Linked DNA regions of Rhinolophus ferrumequinum. The protein of the gene in region 1 interacts with the protein of each later gene in a pairwise test. Links are inferred from orthologs where the notes say so. Each region holds a gene or a part of one and is shown on either strand. Other genes may lie near its edges.

Region 1 (7,550 bases):
TTCTGTCGTGATCTGTTTTTGTCTTGAATTGTATAGATAGGATATGTGTACACATTCTTCTGAAATGTATCTTTTAAGGATGAGACCTTGATTAGCGATATCATTTTAGTAGTACTTTAATGCGTCTGAATTGCTTATACAAACAGCTTGGAATCTGGAATCATATTGGAAACTGGGATGATCTCTTTCATGGATTTCCCCTATATTTCTCTCTATCTTTTAAAATATTTTATACACACATAACACATGTGTTAGTTATAAAGCATAACCATAGAATGGAAACCTATAAATCTACCACCCGGTCTGAAATGAACATGTCTCTAAGAACACTGCCTGTATCTATGGGCTTCTCCCCACCCACTCCCAGAGGGAAACAGGATCCTGAATTTTGTGTTATTAATCCTCTTGGTAAAAGAAAACAAAACAGAAATATTTCACCATGTAGTTCATTCTCTTGCTTTAAAAAACTTGCTATGTATTTTTTTGTTGTCCCTGCTTTTAAGAGCTTTATCAAAATGGTGTCAATTGTGTAGTTTTTTTCAGAACTTGCATTTTTTTTTTTTTAACTTAACATTGTATTTCCAAGACCCGCCCGTGTTGTATGTGGCTGTAGTTTACTCACTTTTGCTGTTGAATAATATTCCTTTCTGGGAATCACAACATATTGTATTACTGCTAATACTTGTCAATTGTCAGTTGGGCTGTTTCTCATATTTTCACTTGGTATATATTACATTTGGGGCTGTCTGAAACATTTAGCAGCATCATTTGAGATATAGCTGTTTTCAAGTGCACAGTTTTTAAGAAAACGAAAATAAGCCACCAGTTTCTGCTCCAAAAGAAGGGAAATTTATGCCACCTGGGGAAAATGGCATAACAACAAACAAGTGGGATGCACTGTCAGTGTGATTATGAAGCTAAGACTCCAGTGAATGTTTTACCACGTGATTTTATTTCCAAGGTGGAAAAAATAAGTTTGACTTCAGTATGTAGAATGTAATCATTGAAGAAGATAAAAATTGCCTTTTGTGTCTATGTGATCAAGTTAAAGCTGAAAGGCAACTTATATTTTGATTCTCTTTTTTCTAAAAATGAAGGTATATAATAATAATCATCTAACTTTTCCATCTAAAATAGCTTAATCTTATTTATTTCCCACTACTTTAGGAAAACACACACATTTTAAAAATTGACAAATGAAAAATCATTTTGGTAAAAAAAAATACCCAAATCACTACAATTTAAACAACTGAGCATTTGTCCTTTATTCTGTGTACCTTATGTCTTTAGGGACAAATGAATGGGAATTATTACTAATACTAAAAATATATTGTATAGTATTTAAAGAGTTTTTATTAGCATTAGTCTTTTAAAAGTCAGCTCTCAACTTGTCTAAATTTACAAGCATGTATTTCAGAATTCTAAACACCAAATACAATGAAAATATAAAATTGATTTTCCTTTACATTTAACTGCAGAATGAATCTGTAGGCATCAAGACCAACCTCATGCAGGGAACTCTCTGAAGGAATATTTAAAAATTAGTAGACTGAATTTTAATTATTCACATGTAGTGCCTGATTTTTAAATGATACGTGCTAAACTTGTTTCTTTGTAAAGATTCTAATACATTTCTTCCTCTGTTAATGTCCATAACATCTAAAACTGGAATCTTTTATTTAAAAGTTAAGCTGAATTTCATTCAGTTAAGCAAAACAATCCCATATGAAAAACTCTTGTAAGTAAAAAAAGATTTATTTCCCTTCTATACAACTGACATACTGAATTGAGCTAAAAATTTCCAAGGAGATCAATGATCTAGGGACTAAGTATGGGGGTCTGGGAAGGCTAGGTTTCCATTATGATAGCTTTTGACTTGTTTTCAGGTCTTAATTTTAAAAATGATTTACAAACGATGGGATACAAACAATGTAACTCGGAAATCTTTTACACGTAAAGAGTAAAAAACAAAAAAAGAAAAGAAAAGAAACCTACCTTTTCTTTAGAACAGATCCCTTCCTACCAGACAGCCTGGTTGTTCATGAGACAAACACTTCTACTCGATCTAGACATTCACGACTCTTTTATTAGCCATCTTCTTTTTATTTGTTGTTAACATCAATTAGCCTGAGTCTTGAAACCCGACCACATTAAGGGCAACACGTGGCCCACTCACTATTTTTTAAAGTCCACGTATTTCAAACTCCTTTCTCCAGCCATTGCTGGGCTGTTTCCCCCTTTAAGGACCTGGTCTCCGCAGCGTTTATTCGTTAGATGGCAGTTCTCGGGCAGTCTTGTTTTGGGGAAACCTCTCCTTGGGCACATTCAAGAAAACCACAGAGGAGACTTGGGGCTGGTGCTGATTTCTAGTCACTTACATAGCGAAGGAAGCAAGAGGGAGGGGCCCGGGAGGACCCGAGGCAGGTGCGGGTGGGTTTCCGCAGTGACCACACTGATCGCGCGTATGTGCGGCGTGTTCCAGGGTCTCGACCCCAGCCAGGAGACTGTGCCCGCCACGGCCGCGGACCCCTTCCTTCAGGGGCCCCTCGGACACGCCCCCTAGCCTCGGGGGCCCCCGCGGCCCGCACGGTGCACGCGCTTTGGCCGCTCCCAGCAGCCGCCCACGTGGTGGAGCCCGGAGCAGCGCGAGGAGCTTTTGGGGCGGGCCGCGGGTCTTCGAGGCCCGGCCAGTGCGACCCAGTCTAGCGGGCCCCCAGTCCGGGCCCCCACATTTCCTCTCCGGTTCGGAGGGAGGCGACACTCCGCGGGCCAGCCCTCCCCCGCGCCTGCTACGCCCCCTGGCGGCCGCCGCGGGGACGCGCCCTGGGCACGCGGGGCAGCCTGTCTGGGCCCCCCTTTCCCGGCTCCGGGCTCGCGGCGGGCGGCTGGCCGTCTCCCCTTGCACCCCCTAGCCGAGCCCCGCGGGCCGCGCCCTTCCCCCTCAGCTCCCCGTGAGCCTCGCAACTCCGGGCTCCCCAGTCGCGACACCGCGGCCGCCCTAGCCATGCGTGAAAGTGCCCACCTTGGGAGCCTGGGAGGGATCGCCTTTCTCTCAGGTGTGCCCCTCCCGCCACGTTCGGGCTTTCCAGAGCGCTGCGAAAAAATGCCGCATGCACGCACTTATTTATTTATTTTGCAACAGCTGCAAGAAACAATGAAGCTTTTCAAGAACCGGGGAAACGCGCTTTCCAGCCGCGCTGTTGTTGTTTTCAATGAACCTCTCGGGCCCCGCACTCCCCGCCCATCCCGCTCCCTCCCCGCCTCTCCACCCCTCCTCGGCTGGCCCCACCACCCGCCCGGACCGGCGCCGGGGGCATTGTTTTTGGAGTCCTGCGGGAGGGGAGGGCGCGTGCAGGGTGGCCGGCGCAGTGCGGGTGGGGGCGAGAGCGTGTGGGCGCGCGCGCGCGTCTCCGGGCGCGCGCGGGCGGGGGGACGGGGGCGGCGGGGCGGTGCCTTGCCGCCTCGTACCCCACGCCCCGGCTCCGCTCCGCACGTCCCTGGGATCCCGGGCTCCAGCTCTTGGCGCGCGCCGGCCTGGGCCGGGCCCTGGGCGCGCCGCGGCTGCGGCGGCGGCGGCGGCGGCGGCGGCTCCGGGAGGTGCGCGCGCGCGCGTCCGTGTGCGCGGGCCCGAGCGCGCGCGCGCTAGCCCCCAGTGTGTGGCGGCGGCGGCGGCGGCGGCGGCAGCGGCGCGGCGAGGCTGAGGCTCTTGTTTACCAGCATTAACTCCGCTGAGCGGAAAAAAAAAAAAAAAAAAAAGGGGAAAAAAAACCCGAGGAGGAGCGAGCGCACCGGGCGAACTCGACAGAGGCGGGCGAGCGAGAGGGACGCCGCCAGCGAGCCTGCCTGCGGCGCGCGGTGCCCGGCGCGTGCAGACCCTCGGCCCCGCTCCCCGGGCCCTTCGCGCCCCTCCCGCCCGCGCGGGGGGCAGCTCCACGGCGCGCCGCGCGCCTCGGCTTTGACCTTCAGCGAGCCGGAGCCCCCGCGCGCGGAGCCGGCGGCGCGGCGGGCGGGGGCCGGCGCGGGGCGGGCGGCGGGAGTGCAGAGCGCGGCGCGGCCGGCCCGCCGCTTTGTGTGCGTCCTGGATTTGGGCAGGAGCTCGCGGCGGCGGCGCCAGGAGCTCGGAGGACCTGCAGGAGGGGGAGCCTCTCATTCATTTTGACTCCGCATCTCGGCCCGGCCGGCCTCGCCCGCACCCGGGACTTCGCGGCCGGCTTGCGAACTGCGTCGCGCCCTCCCGCCGCCGCGGCTCGGGGCCCGCACCGCCTCCCCCGGGGGCCGCGATCGGGTGTGCGCCGCGCGGCCCGGACGGATTTGGGCTTTGCCCCCCTCCCGTTGCAGCCCCCCCCCACCCCCCCCCGCCTGCTTCGCTGGGTTTGAAAATGGAGGCCGACGACGCCGACAGCCCGCCCCGGCGCGCCCCGGGTTCCCGACTCGGCCGAGCCCTGGGCCGCGGCTGCCGACGCTGAGGGGCCGCCCGCGCCGCCCGCCCCGTCCGCGCCGCCTCGGGAGGACTGTTTGCTTCGCCCTTGTGTTCGGAGGGGGAGCGAAGACTGACTTGGAGACTTTGGCTTTTCCTCCCCCCCCCACGCCGCCCGCCCGCCCGCCCCTTTTATTTTTGAGAAAGGGGAATTTCGTCCCAAATCAAAGGAATGAAGTCTGGCTCCGGAGGAGGGTCCCTGACCTCGCTGTGGGGGCTCCTGTGTGTCTCCGCCGCGCTCTCGCTCTGGCCGACGAGTGGAGAGAGTGAGTATGTGCCCGCCGCCCGCGGCCACTGCGGGAACTTTTCCTCCGAGGGGCTGCGCCCTGTTTGCGAAACCCGAGTGGCCCCCGTCGCAGCTGTCGGGCCCGCGGGCGCAGGAGCGGCGGGGCGGGGCGGGCCGCGCAGGGGCTCGGCCGCGGGCTCGGGGGTGGCAGGCCCGCGGGCCCCGGCTCCGCGCGGTGCCCCCGAGGGAAGGGCCTCGCGGGCTGGCGTGCTCGCTGTCCCGAGAGCCGTGCCCCGCGCGCGGGCCGCGTGTCTCCGTGGCGCTCCCTTCCTAGCCAGGCGCTGGGACTCTTTCCGGGAAGTTCGCGCCCCGTGGGGCCACGCCGCCCGCACCTCGTCCCTGTCGGGGCGCGCGGGGCTGGTCCGCACCCCGCGCTGGCGCCCGCACCGCGCGCAGACCGCGGGGACAGCTCGTGCGGCCGCGCGGAGCCCTCGCTGTGGGGCAGACGCTGCGTCTGTTGGCGGGGAGCCCAGCCGCCTGTGGGGTACAAGTTGCCCTCGATGAGGAGGTGCCGGGCGGAGCGGCCCCGCAGCCCCAGGACACGTTTCCAAACATCCCGGTGCGGCCTCCTGTCACCCAACGCGCTTTGCCCCTCCGGCTCGTTGGGTTCCTGGCCGTTCGCGTCATTTTCACCCGATCCGCCGCAGGTTCCTTGTCCCACGCTTCCCGGGGCTGCCCAGTGCGGCTCTGGGGTGCGGGAGCGAGCCCGCCTGCACCCCCATTCCTCCATGCAGCTCCTGGAAAAGTGCGAAGTCGGGGGCCCGACACCGGCCACTCTTCTGGGGGAGCGCGTCTGGACCCCAGTTCCGAGGGTTCCGGGACCTCCTCCCAGGGTCTGCCCGGCCCGTGGACGCTCTCCTCCCCCTGGCGGGACTGGGGAGGGGGTGGTCGGGCAGCATCCGAGTGTGCGGGAGTGGGTTTGTGGTCGCAGCCGACGTGCATGTACACACACGTGCTTGCCACGCGGGGGTGTCGCCGCCGCCACACGGCCGCGTGGGGACACCTAGACGCCGCGCCCTGGCCAGAGGTGCCCTGCGCCGCGGTGGACGGATGGCGGCGGCGCGTGGGGAGGGGCGCGTGTTGTTTTGCGAGCGCGCAGCGCTGGCCTGGGCTTCGTGGCCGCAGTTGTCTCGCGCTGCCCCCTCCCCCGGCCCCGCACTTCCTTTGTACATAGTTAATAAGCAGTGTCGCTGCACACTCGCTATCGCTGGCAATCTGATAGCTTTTGTTTTGGTCGTGTCGGGTAGGGGTAGGGAAGCACCGCGAGGGAGGAGGGAGGGAGAAGTGGGGGCCCCCTGGGGTGTGGGGGGAGGGCAGGAGGGGGTTCTCTGCTTCTCAAAAAATTAAAGTGTGGCTTACTGGTGCATGCGCGACGGCAGGGTAACTTGATCACGATTAAAGTTTAAATGCAGTCCCTGGACTGCGGGCTGGGGCCGGTGAGGGCGTGCTGGTGAGTAATGGTTGCGAGGCTATGCAGGTAGTGCCAATTGGGAAAATCACGACTGAGCCGTGAAGAATGAGGGGGAGAATCCGGAGGCAGCGGGGGCCGTTCGGAAAGGCCGTGTGAACAAACCCTTCTTAACCGCTTGGTAAGAGCTGAGTCCACGATGGAGTCCGAGCAGATTTTTTATAGGATTAGCGTGTTTACTGCGTGGAGTCAGACGCAGACTGAGGCCGGACCGTCCCCAAATCTGAGCTCTTCTGCTCTTTGTTTTCTAAACTTTCAGCTCCACGGATTGGGCGAAAGGCTTTCGGGCTCCCTTCTAAGCCTCACAGACAGAGTTTGGGGGGACAGAAGAGGGTTTGTAGCCTTTGAAAGCTAAATATAGTTTGGAAGACGCAGCGGTGTTAATCCATTTTTAGAGTGGCGTTGCTATTGAACTGTACTGTCTCTCGTTTTATTCTTTAATGTTAGTATGTTATGAAATTCTCAGCAACAGTGATGGCCTCCGATAGAGGAGGCCGGCATTTTAAAATAGGATGTCTTGTTTGGAGCGTTCTTCTTGAAAAATATCCTTTGTGAAAGGCGTTTCATTCTTGAGAAAACAGGAGGGTTAGGGGTATTTTAACGTACGTTTCTAATCCCATGTAGCCCACGCTTTACTCAAAGATGCCTTGGAAATTGTTGGTTCCCAGAAACCTGATGGGAGGCCAGAAGGCACCCCCAATCCTGATTATGGTCTGTTGGAGTTCTCACTCAGGACCTGCCCCTCCCTACAGCTCTGAAGTTTTGAGGATGAAACGATAGGCTTAGCGTGAACCTGCGTTGAGTTTTTATCCCAAAGGTGCTAAACACTTACCTCTGAGAGAAGTAACGGCCACATCTTATCAGAGCCTGACATTCTTTTGGCTGGCTAGTCCAGTAACCAGGATTGGGGTGGTGGTTGTTCCCCATATTTAGGGATTCGTGTTTCCTCTCCGAGTGTGACCGCAGTAGGGTGATTTTTAAAACTCTTTAACTTAGAAAAGTTAGAAGTTTCGAAGCAGATGAAGTCATACAGACATGGCTGTTTCGTATCAGTACAACATGAACAGAGCGTCTAAATAAGGGAGTTTGGAAGTTATAGCCAAATAATCTGTTGGCTTTTTTTTAATCAATGGGCACTTCACACATGTTGTGGCCATCTCATTAAAAGGATCCAGTCATCTTTCTGCCCCAGGCACGTGTTTGTCCTTATTGTCAGAAAAATGGATGTGTGGAAGATCGGTCTTGAAAGGAGTTGATGTTTTTTATTCCCCGAAAAAAGAACCCAGAATAAGAAGTTTGGAAACAACCTAAGCAGCAAA
Region 2 (7,165 bases), on another chromosome or scaffold:
AGGTCCCACATGGGTCTGAGGTCTCAGGTGACTGACCAGGGCAGTTCCGGCTGGCTCAGGTGTGCAAAGGGAGGGCCACATGGCTGCGAGTCTGCTCAGGCTACCTGAGGGGACAGAGCTAACATTTATGGAACTATGAGTATAAACCAGAAAGTGCTAAGCAATTCACATAAATCCACTAAGAGGCTGGCACTGCTATTTACCTATTTACAGCTGAGAAAACTCAGGCACCGAAACGATGGCAGGCTGAGTAGACACTTCCCCGAGGCATCATGGGATAATTGGGGCATTTCAGGCAACATGGAATTCTCCAGGTCAGCCTGAGGTCCTGCTCTGGTGGTCACGGAGAGGCCCTCCCTATATTCCACTCCCAGAGCCCTGTCTCCAGGCCCAAGTGCCCGGGGCCAGCCCAGTACACACACCCTGCTGCTGGAATGAAGCCCCTTCCCCTTGGTCCCCAATCTCCTAACAGTGCCTGGACGTGACCCTCTGGGAGCACTTAGCTTTCATCCATCGTACAGACGTGGACTGAGCACCGGGCAGCAGAAGGCTGGTGTGTGCGGAGACACGACCGCATCCAGCCCTGACCTCTACCACGAGCTGCAGAATTTAGAGGCCGGGACCCCCACCACACTGAGGGGACCCAGGAGTCATGTGTTGAGGTTAGAGCAGGGGATTTAGAGGAGGTGAGCTGAGCCTAAAGAGAGGGACGGGTGTCCTCTCTTCATTTCAAGCCAGAGGGAAGGAGGCTTTAAAGAGCCCCCAGAGAGCTTCACAGCGTGCATCCCTGAGGTGGGAGAAAGCCACTGGACTGAGGGCTCCCCCCATCTACAAAGTCTGCAGGGCGAGACGGGCTGGCTGCTTTGTGGCCCAGAGGAGGGCCTCAGGTGAGGGGCAGTCAGAGGGGCCCTCAGGCCCAGCCGGGGAGGCTGCCTGGAGGGCCAACAGACCTCCACGAGAGGGTGGAGCTGCCTGGGCTGTCAGGCTCCTGGCTCCCTTGAAGCCCATGTGAGAAACCCTAGCTGGGGGTTGGGGAGTGCCCAGCAATGGCCAGGCCCTGAGGACCCGTGGGGGTGCCCACAGGATGGAGGAACAGCTTTAAACCTCTGCCAACCCAGTGCACAGTTCCAGGGGCTGAAGGCCAGCTACACAGTAGCCCCTGTGACTGCAGGCCCCTGCCCCACCTGAGGTGGCCAGGACCTGGGCCCAGACTGTGCTGTGAAGTGGCAGAACCATGGGTCTTTCTCCCAGGCAGCATTGCGGGTCTGCCAGGTTTCCACCCAGCCACGGGAGGGAGGGTGGGCAGCGGGAGAGATTTTGAGGGCCAGTAGAAGACCCAGATAAGGCTGCATCTGGTGGCTTTGCAGTTCCGCAGCTGTGCTTTCTCACGGTGACACCGAGGGCTGCAGCATCAAGGGAGGGGTGATCTTCAGCAACAGACATTTCTTGAGGTCCACATGCAGGGTGAGACCACCCTCCACCCAAAAGGGCTTTCCTCATAGGCAGGGGCTCTTGGTGGGCCGGGACCCAAACCCTGAGAGTACTGAGCACCTCTCTCTCTCTCTCTCTCTCTCTTTCTCCCCCTCTATCTTTCTCTTTTTTCTTCCCTCTCTTCCTCCCTCTCTCCTTCCCTCCCTCCTTTCCTCTCTCTCTCTCTATCTCTTTCTCTCTCTCTCTCTTTCCCTTGACCAGGGATAGGCAAAGCCATGGCCCAGGAGGAAGGTACAGGATGGTCCATGGAGCCAGGCTTGGGGTTCCCAAGGAGGAGGTTTGGCCATGGGCCTGGATGGAGGGGATTGCAATAGGCAGCAATGGAGGAAGTCCAAAGAGACCCCAGGACCTGTGGGCAGGGGTGCTGTGAGCCCCTCGCCAAGGTGGGGTGGGCTAGCTGAGATGGCTCCCACTCAAAGGCGGCATACTCAAACGTAACATAGGGCATCTCAGCCCGGCCCCAGGCTTGAATTGACCCCTTCCTTTTCCCATCTGACGTCCCCCATTCTCATCCCCACCCCGGTGTGAGGAGACCACAGCTGAAACCCATCTGGCAGTGTCCAGGCGAGTCCTCCGGCAGCCTTCCTTCCTTTACCTACTTTGGGTCTGACATACTGCCAGGGACTCTTTGGAAAGTCCCAGACCCTCTGGGGGAAAGCCTGCCCGTCCCACGTGCCCACAGCCCAGTTGGGCACTCTCAGGGGTGGCCTCCAGCTCCATTCCCACCTGCCCTGGGGAGGAAGGGGGTTGGGGGTGGGCAAGGGTCACAGCAGGGCACACGTGCCTCAAATTTGTGTTTTATGAGGGGCACTCCTTGGCAGCTGCAGTGGGAGGTTCTCAAGGCCCAAGGGCACGAGGGCCTGGGGGGACGCAGTTGTCCTGGGCCTGGCCTGTCACAGCTCAAGGCTCTTGAACTGGAAGGAAGCGTCTCTGGGTCATGGAAGTTCAGTGGGTGTGCCAAGTGGCGGGTGGGCGCCTGCAGAGCACAGCGCTGGTCTGAGGGTGGGACAGCGGGAGGCCAGGCCCATGGCCTGGTGGTAAGTTCCCAAGCTGGTGTGTGGAGCCTGGGAGGTGGGGCAAGATCTCAGCCATGCGAGCTTTGGAATGAAAGAAACCGGCTTTGTCACTTTCTAGCCTATGACCCTGGGCGCGTCCTTTAACTTGCTTTGGTGTCACTTTCATCACCGCACAGAGACAATTTCCTCCCAAGGCAGTGCACTGTGAAAACTCAAGTGCTCAGTGAGTCCCTTGTGGGAGCGTGCTCAGAGCCAAAGGCCAGCGCGTGGATGGCCTCTGACGACAGCTGCAGCAGGGGCTTCCCGCACCTCCTCCCAGGGCCCAGACAGCGGGGTGGCCTCCCGCTTCAGTGGGTCAATGGCTCCAGGCCACTCTCCTCCCCTGTGGATCTGAGAGTTAGAGCTCACTGGCTGGCTAAAAAAAAAAAGAAGGGCGTGCCAGCGCCTGGTGCCCGCTGCAGAGGAGGGTGTCGCAGGCTCTGTTTCCATGGGAACCACTGGAACAGGCTGTCACTGGGTGCAGAAAAGGGAAACTTGGCAGAGGTTTTGGGCACCTGGCTCCTGGGTGGTTTCCCTGGGGTCTGAGCGAATTCCCAGGAGTCTGCCCCCCTCCCAAGGAAACTCAGGGGCCCTCACCCTTTTCCTCCACCCGCTAAGAGACATGGCGAGGTCCCTCTGCCACCCCCATGGGGTCCCAAACTGGGACATAGGCAAGGACAGATGACAGGCTACCTGGGAGGGCCCCCACATCGTGAGACCCCATGTCGGGTAAAAAGGAGGTAATTAAGGGGGGAGACAGGTCAAAGATGGAAGGGCCCCTATGTGTGACCCATGTGCTGTGGCCCTGGTAGCTGTCACCATCTCTGCATGGGTGAACCCCTGTTTGTGAGGCCATTGAGGACCAGAATGATGTCCCCACAGGGAGGATGCCTTGGAAGCCAGGAGCAGCTGAGGTGGCACCAGGGTCTTGACTGCAGGCCCCTCCTCAGGGTGTCCGTGAAAAGGGCCCGCAGGACTGGCCAGGGGGCAGCAGGGAGAGGAAGGCTGCCCCTTCCTGTCCCCAACCCCTATTGGGGCAGAAACTCACATCAGAGCTCCCTTCCCCCAAGCCCCGGTTTTCTGGACACCCCCCCCATGCACCCTCCCCTCCCCATAACCAAGGGGTGGGGGGAGGGGGTGTGTGTGTTAGAAAAAGAGACAGAGCGGAGGTGGCACAGGGAGAGACACTCGTGACAGGCAGAGAGGACGCCCAGAGAGCCAAACAGGTGGGACTTCAGTACTTCTTTGACAGGCTGAGAGGGCAGGATTAGGAACCAATAATACAGAGAGTGGGACAGTGGCTGGGAGAGGGAGAGAGAGAAGGGGAAAGAGAGGGAGAGAGAGAGAGACAGAGAGAGAGGGGGAGAGAAGAAGGAGAGAGAGAAAAAGAGAGGGAGGGAGGGAGGGAGAGACAGACAGAGACAGAGAGGGAGAGAGAGGAGAGGAGAAGAGAGGACAGCAGGAGGGAGGGGAGGCAGAGCAGAAGGGGTGGAGCAGGTAGAGACAGGCAGGGGGGCGGGTGGGCAGGGGGCGGGCGAGGAGCCTCCAGTCCAAGCAAACATGAGGCAGCTGCCAGCTCTGCCCGACAGTCCTGATCTCTTTGGCGGCGAGGAGGGGAGCCTGGCAACAGTTTCCTTCAGCGCCCAGGATGCTTCGGGCCAAGGTAGGCGCCAACAGGGCAGGAGGCTCGAGGGGTGGGGGCTGGGGCTTCTGGGGTTGCCCTGGACCAGGGAGCCTTGTGCCCATTCCTTGCTGTCCCCTATAGGGTCGCTTTGAGGAAAGTAAGTATTGGGGTATCCTGGCTGAGAGGCTAGGCTCCTGGGGCCCCCTTTGGATGGGAGAGGCTTTAGGGATTTGTAGGATAGAAGCTGGACAGGGGAGGGGCTTGGGTCAACCACACAGCTGGTCCTGCTCAGTTAGGTCTCTGGGGGCAGCTGCCCTGAGCCGGGCCCTAGGGCTTCAGAGCCAGGGGCAGGCTGTGTGCTGGGAGGGGGTGTCTTATGCTCCACGAATACACCTCTTAATTATTCAAGTAATTAATGAATGCCTACTTCCTAAAGGGCCCTGAGACGTAACAAGTACACTAATAGTTCCCACTCTGGGGGTTGTTGGGAGGTTGGAGAGAGAATCAAGGGAAATGCCTGGGGTACAGTTCAAGAAACAGTGGTGGGGTGTTGGAAGGAGGAAGAGTAATTAAATGAAGAAGAATGAAGGAATGAAACATAAGCTGACCCCCAGAATTCGGCTGACACTCAGAAAATGGGTCCTGAGGGTATGCAGCTCCTCTCATGTTTGGGACAGTCTTGCTCTGTAAGGAAGAAGCACGGACACTAGGTCTTGCTGCTCGCAGCAGAACACCCCAAGTAACAGCAGTCTGAACAAGGCTGGTTGCCTTTTCTGCTTTCTCTGTCGTGTAGAAGTCCAGAGGGAGGCAATAGAAGGCTGGCACGGAGGCCCCGGGGTCAGCAGGGCCCCGGGCTCCATCTGTGTCCCTGCTTGCATTCTTGAGTTTACCTTAAGGTCCAACATGGCTGCAGGAGCTCCAGCTAGCATACGTAGGCAGCAGGAAGGAGAAAGAAGGAAGGGCAAAACGATCCAAATACAACCAGGGTCTTGTGAGTAAAGAATGGATGCCGAGCTGGCGTCTCATGGTCTTCGCACATCCCCACACCCCCCTATCCCCAAGAGATGGATTCCTGTGTTTCTTTCACCCGTGAGGACAAGCAGCCAACAGTGGGCTTGTGGCTGCCTTCAGGCCACACTGCCCAGGGCCCAGGTGCCCCATCTCCCAGAGGTGCCCAGAAGTGGTGACATGAAACTCTTTGAGCGTGGCAATGGGTACGTTGAAAAGGTGCTTTCGCTACTGTCACCTCAAGTTTCCCCAGGCAGGGGACAGCCCCCTTCTCTTGCATTTTCTCTGCTGGCCCAAACTGCCCAGAGCTCACCCTGGGAGATTGGCCACCCCTGCCCCTGCTAGATGGGTAGAGCGAGTGGCTAGAGTCCTGTGGGTACACCTGGCTTTCCCTTGGCCACTGTGGTCCCTCAGTGCCGTCCGCAGACCCGCACAACAGGCTCTCTGGGCCTTACACCTGCCACTGGACTTCCTGTGGCTGGCCTGGGCAGAGACTGGAGCGGGTCCCATACCTGCTGGCACTGGGCCAAGCAGGGACAGTGGTCCTTGGGGAAGCAGCCCCTGGGTGGCTCAGCAAGGTCAGCCAGGGCACTGGCTGTGAAAAATCACCTTCCTTGCTAATGAAGCAGGGGCTGCAAGTGAGGGCACAGGCTGGGCTTTGGCTGGACTCAGCTGCCCTCAGCTTCCTGTCATTGTCACAGTCAGCAGCTGCACCCTGGGTTTCCAGTCCTCGGCCTCCTGCATGCACCCCCAGTCATTCGGGGGTCCTCACAGCAGCCCAGGAGGGCATGCACAGCCACTGCCCTCTGCAGATACCACAGCTCAGAGGAGGGAGTGGCCCACCTAGCACAGCACCGGCCTTGAACTTCATGAGTGGAGTGAGCGTTACCGCGGGCTCTGCTGGAGTGGGCACGCCTGCCGTCCTGGGCTCCAGAGAGAGACGTCCTCATGGCCCAGCACGTGTGCCACGAATCTCTTCCTGCCTGGCTGCCAGCCTTCCTGTGGGAAACTTGCGGGAGGTGGGTCCTAATTGTCTCCCCAATTTCCAAATCAAAGCCCCGGGTTGCAGTGGGACAAAACCGTCCTCCAGGTGGAGTCTGGGAGAAGGTCATGGCTGGTCTTGTACCTGCATCGTCTCCCTGGACCCACGTACCACCCCCAAAATAGCTGTTGGCATTGTACCCACTTCACAGACCAGGAGCCTGAGGCCTGCCCTAGATGACAATCTACACAGTGTTGTAGCTGGGATGTGGACCCGGCTCTGTCTTACAGCAAAGCTCACTTCCCCAGGGCCGGAGGGGTGGTTCCTGGGATAAGACTACAGTGGGGAGGAGTGTCTGGGGCCAGGCAGCTGAGGAGCGGCCCCTTCCCAGCTGGGGGGCTGGCTCCAGGTGCTTGTGGCCCTCGCACCCTCTGAACCTGTAGTGAGTGCACACAAGCCAGACCCCACCCTGCCATGTCCCCTGGGTCATCCATGCCACCTTGAGCCCCTTTCTGGGCTGCGGGTCCAGAGCTGTAAAGGAAAGGACCCCAGGATTTTTGAATTCAGGATCCCTTTTCTTATCAAACCTTCCGCAAGAGGTGGGGGCTGCTTTGCCGACTCCATCTGGCTTGGGACCATCTACTGTTCCTGCCCCACCCCAAGGCACCCCTGGTGAGGCCCAGGACAGCTGCAGAGCCCTGAATGCAGTCTCTGTTGGGGACAAGGGCAGCCTTGGTTTCCTAGGCGAGGAAGGAGAGAGAACAGGGCTTGGCAGATATTCTGCGCTGGTCCCAGACCCAGGGCAGGAAGGAGGGTGTAGTGTGAGTCACTGTGCTGTCCCTGCCCCCGCCAGCTCCTCATCCCCAGCTGACTGATGTTCCCATCAACAGGTATATCTGTCAGCTGTGATCAGCCCACATCCTAGAACCACAGAGCAGCCATATGACAGGGACAGAACCCAGGGGCCCTGCAGACGCCAGAGTGGGGGGTGGTGCTGAGCTGAGC
Region 3 (7,903 bases), on another chromosome or scaffold:
AAATTAAGGATGAAATGAAATCTTCACACAAAAGATATACACATGTTGTTTTACTACGAGTAGAAATCTATCTTTAGAGCCAGACTGCCTGCTTTTGATTCCTGATTCCAGCACTTACCGTTGCTGTGTGTATATCCCTAAGAAAATTATTTAACTTCTCTGTGCTTTGGTTTATTCATCTGTAAAATGGGGCTAACAGTACATACCTATCATTGCTTGTTATGAAGGGTTATTAATATGTGTAAAGTATTTAGAACACAGCTTGGCACATAGTGAGCAACATAAGTGGTAGCTATTAGTATTATAAACTAATTGCTTGATGCAACCTCCTCAGTTGGCGAATAAATCACAAATGGATAGACTCTATATGTGTTCATACTATATAGCATATATGCATATATCTTATCTATACATGTATATGTACACCCATTTATATGGTCAAATAACCTTTACACAACACCTAGTACACAGCCCATATCCTTATTTGATTACTGAGTTTCCCACAAGAATTCATTAAAGGCCATTACCATTTGCATGAGAAAATGGGCTCAGAAAGACTAGAGATGCTATACACAAAATACGGTTCTATAATAATACTCTGTCATTTTTTAAAAAAGCAACATGCGTACACAGAGGAGTTGGGTCTCATCAGAATGCAACTGGAGGAAAAAACAAAGCCATTAATGGTAAACTCTGTGATTAAAAAACAAAATCAAAAGCTTATATTTAACAATTTCCAGTTTGTAAAAAGGCTTCATACAATATAGATAGAGAAAGAAGAACCAGAGATTAGGCAGCATGCTCAAAATCACACAGCTAGAAAATGCTGCAGGCAAGACCTGAATCAAATTGATCTGACTCCAAGTCTAGTGCTCTTTCTGCTTGTATATCCACAGCCAAATGGGCAAAACGCACTTTTTGCAGTGGCCCAAAAATCTGGAGATTCTGCCTTGGGAACTAGCATCATGGGAATTTGCTCAGCCTGGTTTTCTGGAGGTTGCCTCCCTGATCAAGAGATCCAATTCTAAAATGGCTTCAACATAACACAAGCACTGCATCATGGGAAACACACAGAAGATTATAGGGTAGGAGCCATACCATACTCCAGGGACTGACAGTCCATAAATATTTACTACTGATGAATGAAGACATTCAGTCTGAAAACCAGGTGTGTGTGGTCTAGGCCAAATCACCTCACTTCCCACAAAGACTCCATCTGTAAGATGGGTGAATGGTTTCTTATCTCATGGAAAGTAGGGGCCAGGAAAATAATTCAGCATTTGCTACTGGATTATTAGCCTTCTATTTTGAAGACTACCCATAAAATTCTAATTTGAGTCCAGTGAAACAGACAGATTTTACTCTCACCATCTTGTGTGCTGCTAAGGACATAGAGCCAAGAAAAATGAGGGTTCAGGCAAGTGAGACACAATTCCTAAATAAGAAATGGGGTTCACTGAAAGTGTTCAAGGAGAAAAATCACTACAAACTAAATAACACTTTTACATTTCTAACGGGAAAATGCAAAAAGCTGCGTGACCATGTGTCCTGTTCTATAAACTGCATGTGTGTGGTTTCATATGAACAACTGAAGACAATGAGAAATGCAGACAATTTTTATATTCTCACAAATGCTTCGTCTTTCTGTTCAGGCTCTTGCTGCCACCTAATTTGCTGTGTTCATAACATCATCTTTCCAAATTCCATCTCCCACACATAGCAAGTCAAACCAGAGCCTGATGCTTGCTATCTAGCCTTACCAAAGTGAAAAGCAGTGACAGCAAGGACAAGAGACATGGATTTTTACAGAAAGGTTGGCAAATTGTCTTACCAATACTGCCACCTTTGAAAACCCCATTGCATCGGAGTTCTCCATTTGCAATAGACGAAGATGTACTCATCTTAGGTAGAAAAGGGGTCCAAATCACTCCTACTCTTCCCCACCACCAGAGAGGCCATCAGGGCAAATTTCAGTCCTAAAAACATACTAACACACAGCATGAGGGAATTTGGGGCGAGGACACAAAAGACTCTGGCATTAATGACGGTAGATACCGTGGGAAGATACTCGGTACTCAGCCTTTTACATTTTTTCTCCTGGGGATCCGGCCTGACTCAGTAACCGGTTCCAACAAATGCATTTTCTTGATTCAAACCTCAACCCTAGACTTCCCAGGGAACCTCGGATTCTGCCAGGCTCAAAAACCAGCGAACGATGATGAAATAAATGGCTTTACTGCAAAGTGGGAGGGGGTTTGCTTTCTGCTCTCTCCCAAGGTTAAACCCCTTACCCATCCAGGGAGAGTGAAGCAGGAGCAGTGGGCCTCGAGAACTCGTCGGCCTTTGGTTCAATTTTAATTGCTGGAAGCCAGAAAGTAATAAGCAGGGGTGACAGGGCTGAAAAGGTCGGATCTCCGCGCCCGAGGAGCAGGGAGGGGTCGCGCGGGGATCGAAACTGGGCAGTGAGGGAGGGCCTGAGGTCCGCGGCTGGAAGCCCATTCCCGCCCGGTACGGAGCCGCACCCCGCCCGCCGGGCAGGGCCGCAGGCGGCGAGGGCGGCCCGGGCCTCTCCGAGAGCGAAGGGCCCGGCCCCGGAAATAGGGAGGGGCCGCGGCGAGACCAGGCCCGCGCCGCAGGCGGCCGCGCGGGGCCTAGAAGGCCGTGCGCGCGACCCTAGAAGCCCACCCGCGGGGTCGCCCTGGTGGTCGTCGCCGCCGCCGGGGAGGGGGGGAGCTTTGGCCTTGAGCCCCCGGGGGCCACGGGCGGACCCCGCGCCGCACTCACCGTGGGAGGGCTGCAGGGGGCAAAGACGCTTGCGAGAGGAGCTCCGAGCGCGGTGACCGCTTTCTTCCCAGGCCCACTCCTCAAGCGGCAGCGGTAGCGGCGGCAGCGGCGGCGGCAGCTGCAGTGGCGGCGGCAGCAGGCACCCCGGCTCCGGAATCGGCGGCGGCGGTGGCGGCAGCTCCACTTCCGCTCCGGTCACCACTTCCGCTCCGTCCCGAGCTCCGCCCCGCCCCTGCGCCTTCTCCTCATTGGGCGAGCGGGGCACGGGGTTGCCCCGGCCGCGTGAGAGGGGCGCTGACAGAGGGTGGAGGAAGCGGAGCAGGGGACCTGGATGCGGCTGCCGCCGGAGGGCGGAGGGCCGGGGCCCCGAGCAAGGAGGAGGCGGGCGGTGGGGGACGGAAATGGGGGCGGGGGAGCGGAAAGAGGAGGTAGGAGGAGAGGGGGCGGGTGGGGGGAGGGTCAAGAACTGGGATGTGCTGGAACGAGGAAGACTGGGCGAGGTTTGGGGTGGGGCGGGCCTGAGGCCCACTCTGTTTAGGCTAAACCTCGAGAGGGCCAGGCCCAAAGATTCCGAGGTCATCGGTTCCCACCCCACCCTAGAAGTAATCGCCATGGGGTTAGAGGTTGAGGTCAGTCCCCTTTTGCGCTGTCCTTTGGAAATACTGGATCTAGGGATGGACAGAAATTGCTCATTCCTAAATTTTTGCTTAATCCTGTCTTCAGTCCTTCAAGGTACTAATCATTTCCTCTTTTTTGGACTGAAGAGGCCATGAGGATCGAAGGTCTTTTTCCCTTTTTTTAAGCCTGTGTTGATAATCTCGTAATTGAACACCCCCCTTTCGAGCTCCTAGAGGAAATTTAAGGAAAGGAAACAGGCCCCCACAGCCCCCACTCGCATGACTGCACTCACCGTTATCAACATTGATCTGTTTCTTCCAAGGCAGTTGACTCTTAAACACAGTTCTTCAAAATGCCTCTCACCTGCTCGCCCTCCCTTTCATTCATTCTTTCAATAAATATTTATTGAGCAGGCTGTGTGCTGATTGTTGGAGACACAGCAAGAACACCACAGGCGGGGCCCTGCTGTCTTGGAATTTACAATCTGGTAGGAGAAAAAACAAAGTGAAGACGCCTTTGTCACCTCTTCTTTACCCTGACTCACCTTAATGATAGACTTCTAGCTCATCACCTTACTCTGAGCCCTGCCTCCATCAACTGCCAAAGTGATCTTTTTAAAATGCCATTCTAATCCTGTTCCTTTCTTGCTTAAATCCTTTGGTGATTAGTCAGACAGACCTAGAAGACAATTGGTAGGCCCCTTGAGTGCGACAATCAAGGTTCTCCAGAGATTGCCCTTACCCTGTACCCTTTTCCTGCTCTTTCTCCCCCATCATAAAACCCCAATTCAATTGGATGATTCCTTCTCCTCCCAAGATAACGTCCAGTATTTCTAAATCATTTGTGTGTTAGTTGCCAAGTTTTTAAAGACAGAGATTTTTGTGTGAACAAAAATGTGCATCTCTGCCTTGTCTAGCAACATTTGTGTGTGGGAACAGTTTGCTGAAGGCAAGGAGTGTGGCTGCCTACTCTAGGTCAGACATGGACTTTTCAAAGTGCCAGGGTCCCCTCCTGACCAAGTCTGCTTTCCTCATTCTTCTTGTCTGTCATATAGGTGTTTGTGCCTGTCACTCCTGTGCTATACCACCTTTTAACTTGAGCAAGCTTGAACATTGTGTAATGTAAACAGCACGAATGTGACATCAAAACCACAGGATGGTTTGAACCCCAGAAAAGTTTCCCAGTGCAAAAACTTCCCCATGGGGATCTATCTTTGGCAAACCAAAGGTCAGTAATCCAGAGACTGCTCGGGTTGAAATAAGCCTTCATGAAACATGACTGTGCCTTATGCCCCCATCCAGAAAATAGCCTAGTGGGTCACAGGGCTCATGATGGTTACACCACAGATGACATCAGCAGTGTACTGAGGGAACAGAAGTGCCCTTTGCCAGGCGTCCCTGGGTGCCTGCTAACGGGTTGCATGGATAAGCTGCTTTCACCATTTCTGCATTCTAGGCCATTGGTCAACAAACCACAGCTATTAACCGACAGAGACACAAAGAGATACTAACATACAAATGTGGCAGATGCAGCCATAGGAATATATATGCCCAGGGTATTATGGGAGCCGGAGAAGGGCACCTAACTCATCCTGGGAATGTGGTGGGGGAGCAGGCAGGACTTCCTGAAAGAGGTGATAGTTGAGCTTTGGATTCCATAATGAATTTTTTGTTAATTTAGTAGACTATTTTTTTAGAGCAGTTTTAGGGTTACAGAAGAATTAATCCGATGGCACAGAGTTCCCATAGACTCAACCTGTCCCCACCCACAGACTCCCCTGCCATTAACACCTTACATTAGTGTACATGAGTTACAATGGATGAACCAATATTAATACATTATTATTAAAGTCCATAGTTTACAGTAGGGTTCATTCTAGTCTATGGATTTTGACAAATGCACCATGTCAGGCACCTACCATTACAGTATCATATAGAACAGAGTCACTGTGCGAAAAATCTTGTGTGCTTCAACTATTCAGACCTCACCCTCTCACCCGAACCCTTGGCAGTGACTTTTCATTTACACTGTCTTTGTTTTGCCTTTTCCAGATGTTGTATGGTTGGAATCATACAGTATGTAGCCTTGACTGAGTTAAAGCAATATGATTTACGATTCCTCCATATCTGTATTGTTTAAGAGCTCGTTTTTTTTTGTCACCGAATATTATGGCATTGTATGAATGTCCCACAGTTTGTCCTTCTTTCTCCCCTTCCTCCCTCCCTCCTTCCTCCTCTCCCTTCCCTTCCCTTCCTCCTTCTTTCTTTCTCTCTCTCTCTCTCTTTCTTTCTTTCTTCTTCCCTTCTTTCTTCCTCTCTTTTGCTTTTTATTATGACCATTTTCAAACAAACTCAAAATTAGAGAGAATAGTACAATGAACTCCATGTACCCATCACCCAGCTTTATTTTACTATTTATCTTTTGCCTTTTTTTTAGGAGTATTTCACAGCAAATCCCAGACATTATATCATTGAATTTGTAAATACCATTCAATGTAAATACCATTATATCATTGAATTGTAAATACCTTAGTTCCATATGTAGCTCTAACAGGTAAGAATTTTTTTAAAAAAAATAACCACAGTTCCATGATCACACTTAAGGAAATTAACAATTCCTTATTCTCTTATAATACATGGTCCAGGTTTGATTTTCCCTAATTGTCTTAAAAATTACTTTTTACATTGGTTTATTTAAATCAGGATCCTAATAAGCTCTACACATTGCATTTAGTTGCTAAATCTCTTAAGTGTCTTTTAATCCATCACAGTTAACGCTTCCTCCTTTTTTCTTTATATGATTGATTTGTTGAAGAAACTGGGTAAATTATCTTATCACAGTCTGAATTTGGCTATTTGGTTTCTTGCAGAGTTTTAAAAATGTGACCCTATCCCTTGAATGTCCTATAAACTGGCAGTTATATCTAAAGACTTGATTGGATTTTGGCTCAATTTTCGGCAAGAAAATTTTACAGGTGGGACTATGTTTCCTATTGCTTCATACCAGGAGGCATATAATATCTAATTGTCACTAACAGGCTCTTTTAATCTGAAAACCTATTTCTTTCAGTTCTGGGATATTTTTGTGGCTTATTTCCATGAAGATTTCCTTCCTCCACCTCTCTATTTTCTTTGTCTTCGCTTTCTGGAACCCCAATTATTCAGATATCTGAGCTCTTGGAATGATTTTCGAATTATACTGTTTTTTCCTTCCTCTCTCTTATTATTTTATCTTTTTGTGTTTGGGTTTACTTTCTGAACGTTATCATCCAACTTGTATTTAGTCAGAGTTCTGTGCAGGAGACAGAAGCAGAAACCACTCTAGGTATTTTAAGCAGAACAGGATTTAATAAAGGGAATTAGGTGCTTGCAGACTCATTAGAAGAGCTAGAATTGCCTAAATCAGGTGGGACTTTGTTTCAAAGTCACCATAGCTGTGATTGAGAGGTCAGAGTTACTACTGCTACTCCTGTTGCAGCATCATAACTTCCTGATCACACAAAGCTGGGGACTGGGCACTGGACCGGGGAATCTGGCCACTGACCTTTGGCTCAGTAAAGTAAAGTTCAAAGACAAGAGGGCTGCTGTTTGGATTGAATAAGAAGTTGAAATTGAAGGGTAGCCTATGACATGTCAACTTGCGTGAGGTTTTTGATATCCATCCCACCAATTTTGGCTTTTCGTTTTAATGGGACAAAGGCTGAAATCCTGACTCAGAAAGGTCTATCGGTGTATCAGAAAAAGAGCTCCCATAGTTCTCACTAACTTTGCCAGACAAGGGTAAGCTGTGTCAAGGAGACCAGCATTCTCCAAACTCACTGAATTGAATTTTGGCTACATAATCACCTTTGTTTTCATATAAATGAGGTCATTTGAAAGGTAGATATCATTAATGTAAAAACAAAAGATGAATCTGTATTTCTGTTTCATGATAGCTGAACCAGAAATAAGTTTCACAGTGTGTCTAGGCTTTGCAGATTTCTGCCTGTAGAGAAAGTGGCAAAGCGTTGTCATGCTCCAGTACTTCCTCTAGCTTTGGAAAGTGCACACAGCTATTCACCTCCAGTCTCTTTCTTCAGAGTGCCAGCTGGGCAAAAAGAACCATGAATTTATTGGGTGTTTGTGTGTGTGTATTTTAAGAATGATATTTTTTAGCATTTAAGTAAGAAAACGCCTGCTGTATTCATTTTAAATAATGCATTTTCATTACATGGTGATGCATGAATATATTTTAATTGTAAGAAAACTAAACTATTAAAGATAAAAACTAAAGTCCCCTGTGATCACCACCGCACCAAGTCCGTTTCTCCTCCCGAGAAAGTAACCAAGTATCAATTACATAGGAGGGAGCATTAGATTATGCTGTGATAACAAACATTCTTAAAATCTCAGCGACTTACAACAACAAAGGTTTATTTCTTACATGTTTGTCATGGGTTGGCTTCAGCTGTATCTCTGGACACAGGTGGAAAAAGCAAGGAGAGTATGCTAATCTCATAACA

What was found. The genes of interacting proteins can lie anywhere in the genome.
Region 2: the proteins of IGF1R (region 1) and KCNIP3 interact in binary tests that used the Homo sapiens proteins (3 or more experiments, as listed by UniProt). The two-hybrid records come from large-scale screens. The link is inferred for Rhinolophus ferrumequinum from reciprocal best matches to the Homo sapiens genes IGF1R and KCNIP3.
Region 3: the proteins of IGF1R (region 1) and YWHAB interact in a two-hybrid assay, tested with the Homo sapiens proteins (2 studies listed by IntAct). The link is inferred for Rhinolophus ferrumequinum from reciprocal best matches to the Homo sapiens genes IGF1R and YWHAB.

What each region holds. Positions count from the first base shown.
Region 1 is NC_046311.1:11,461,788-11,469,337, reverse strand, and holds the start of IGF1R (insulin-like growth factor 1 receptor), read left to right. Parts: upstream 1-4,547; 5' UTR 4,548-4,649; coding exon 4,650-4,743; intron 4,744-7,550. UniProt on the Homo sapiens protein: Receptor tyrosine kinase which mediates actions of insulin-like growth factor 1 (IGF1). Binds IGF1 with high affinity and IGF2 and insulin (INS) with a lower affinity. The activated IGF1R is involved in cell growth and survival control.
Region 2 is NW_022680356.1:1,665,166-1,672,330, forward strand, and holds the start of KCNIP3 (calsenilin), read left to right. Parts: upstream 1-4,163; 5' UTR 4,164-4,194; coding exon 4,195-4,209; intron 4,210-7,165. UniProt on the Homo sapiens protein: Calcium-dependent transcriptional repressor that binds to the DRE element of genes including PDYN and FOS. Affinity for DNA is reduced upon binding to calcium and enhanced by binding to magnesium. Seems to be involved in nociception.
Region 3 is NC_046306.1:12,838,263-12,846,165, forward strand, and holds the start of YWHAB (14-3-3 protein beta/alpha), read right to left. Parts: upstream 3,003-7,903; 5' UTR 2,785-3,002; intron 1-2,784. UniProt on the Homo sapiens protein: Adapter protein implicated in the regulation of a large spectrum of both general and specialized signaling pathways. Binds to a large number of partners, usually by recognition of a phosphoserine or phosphothreonine motif.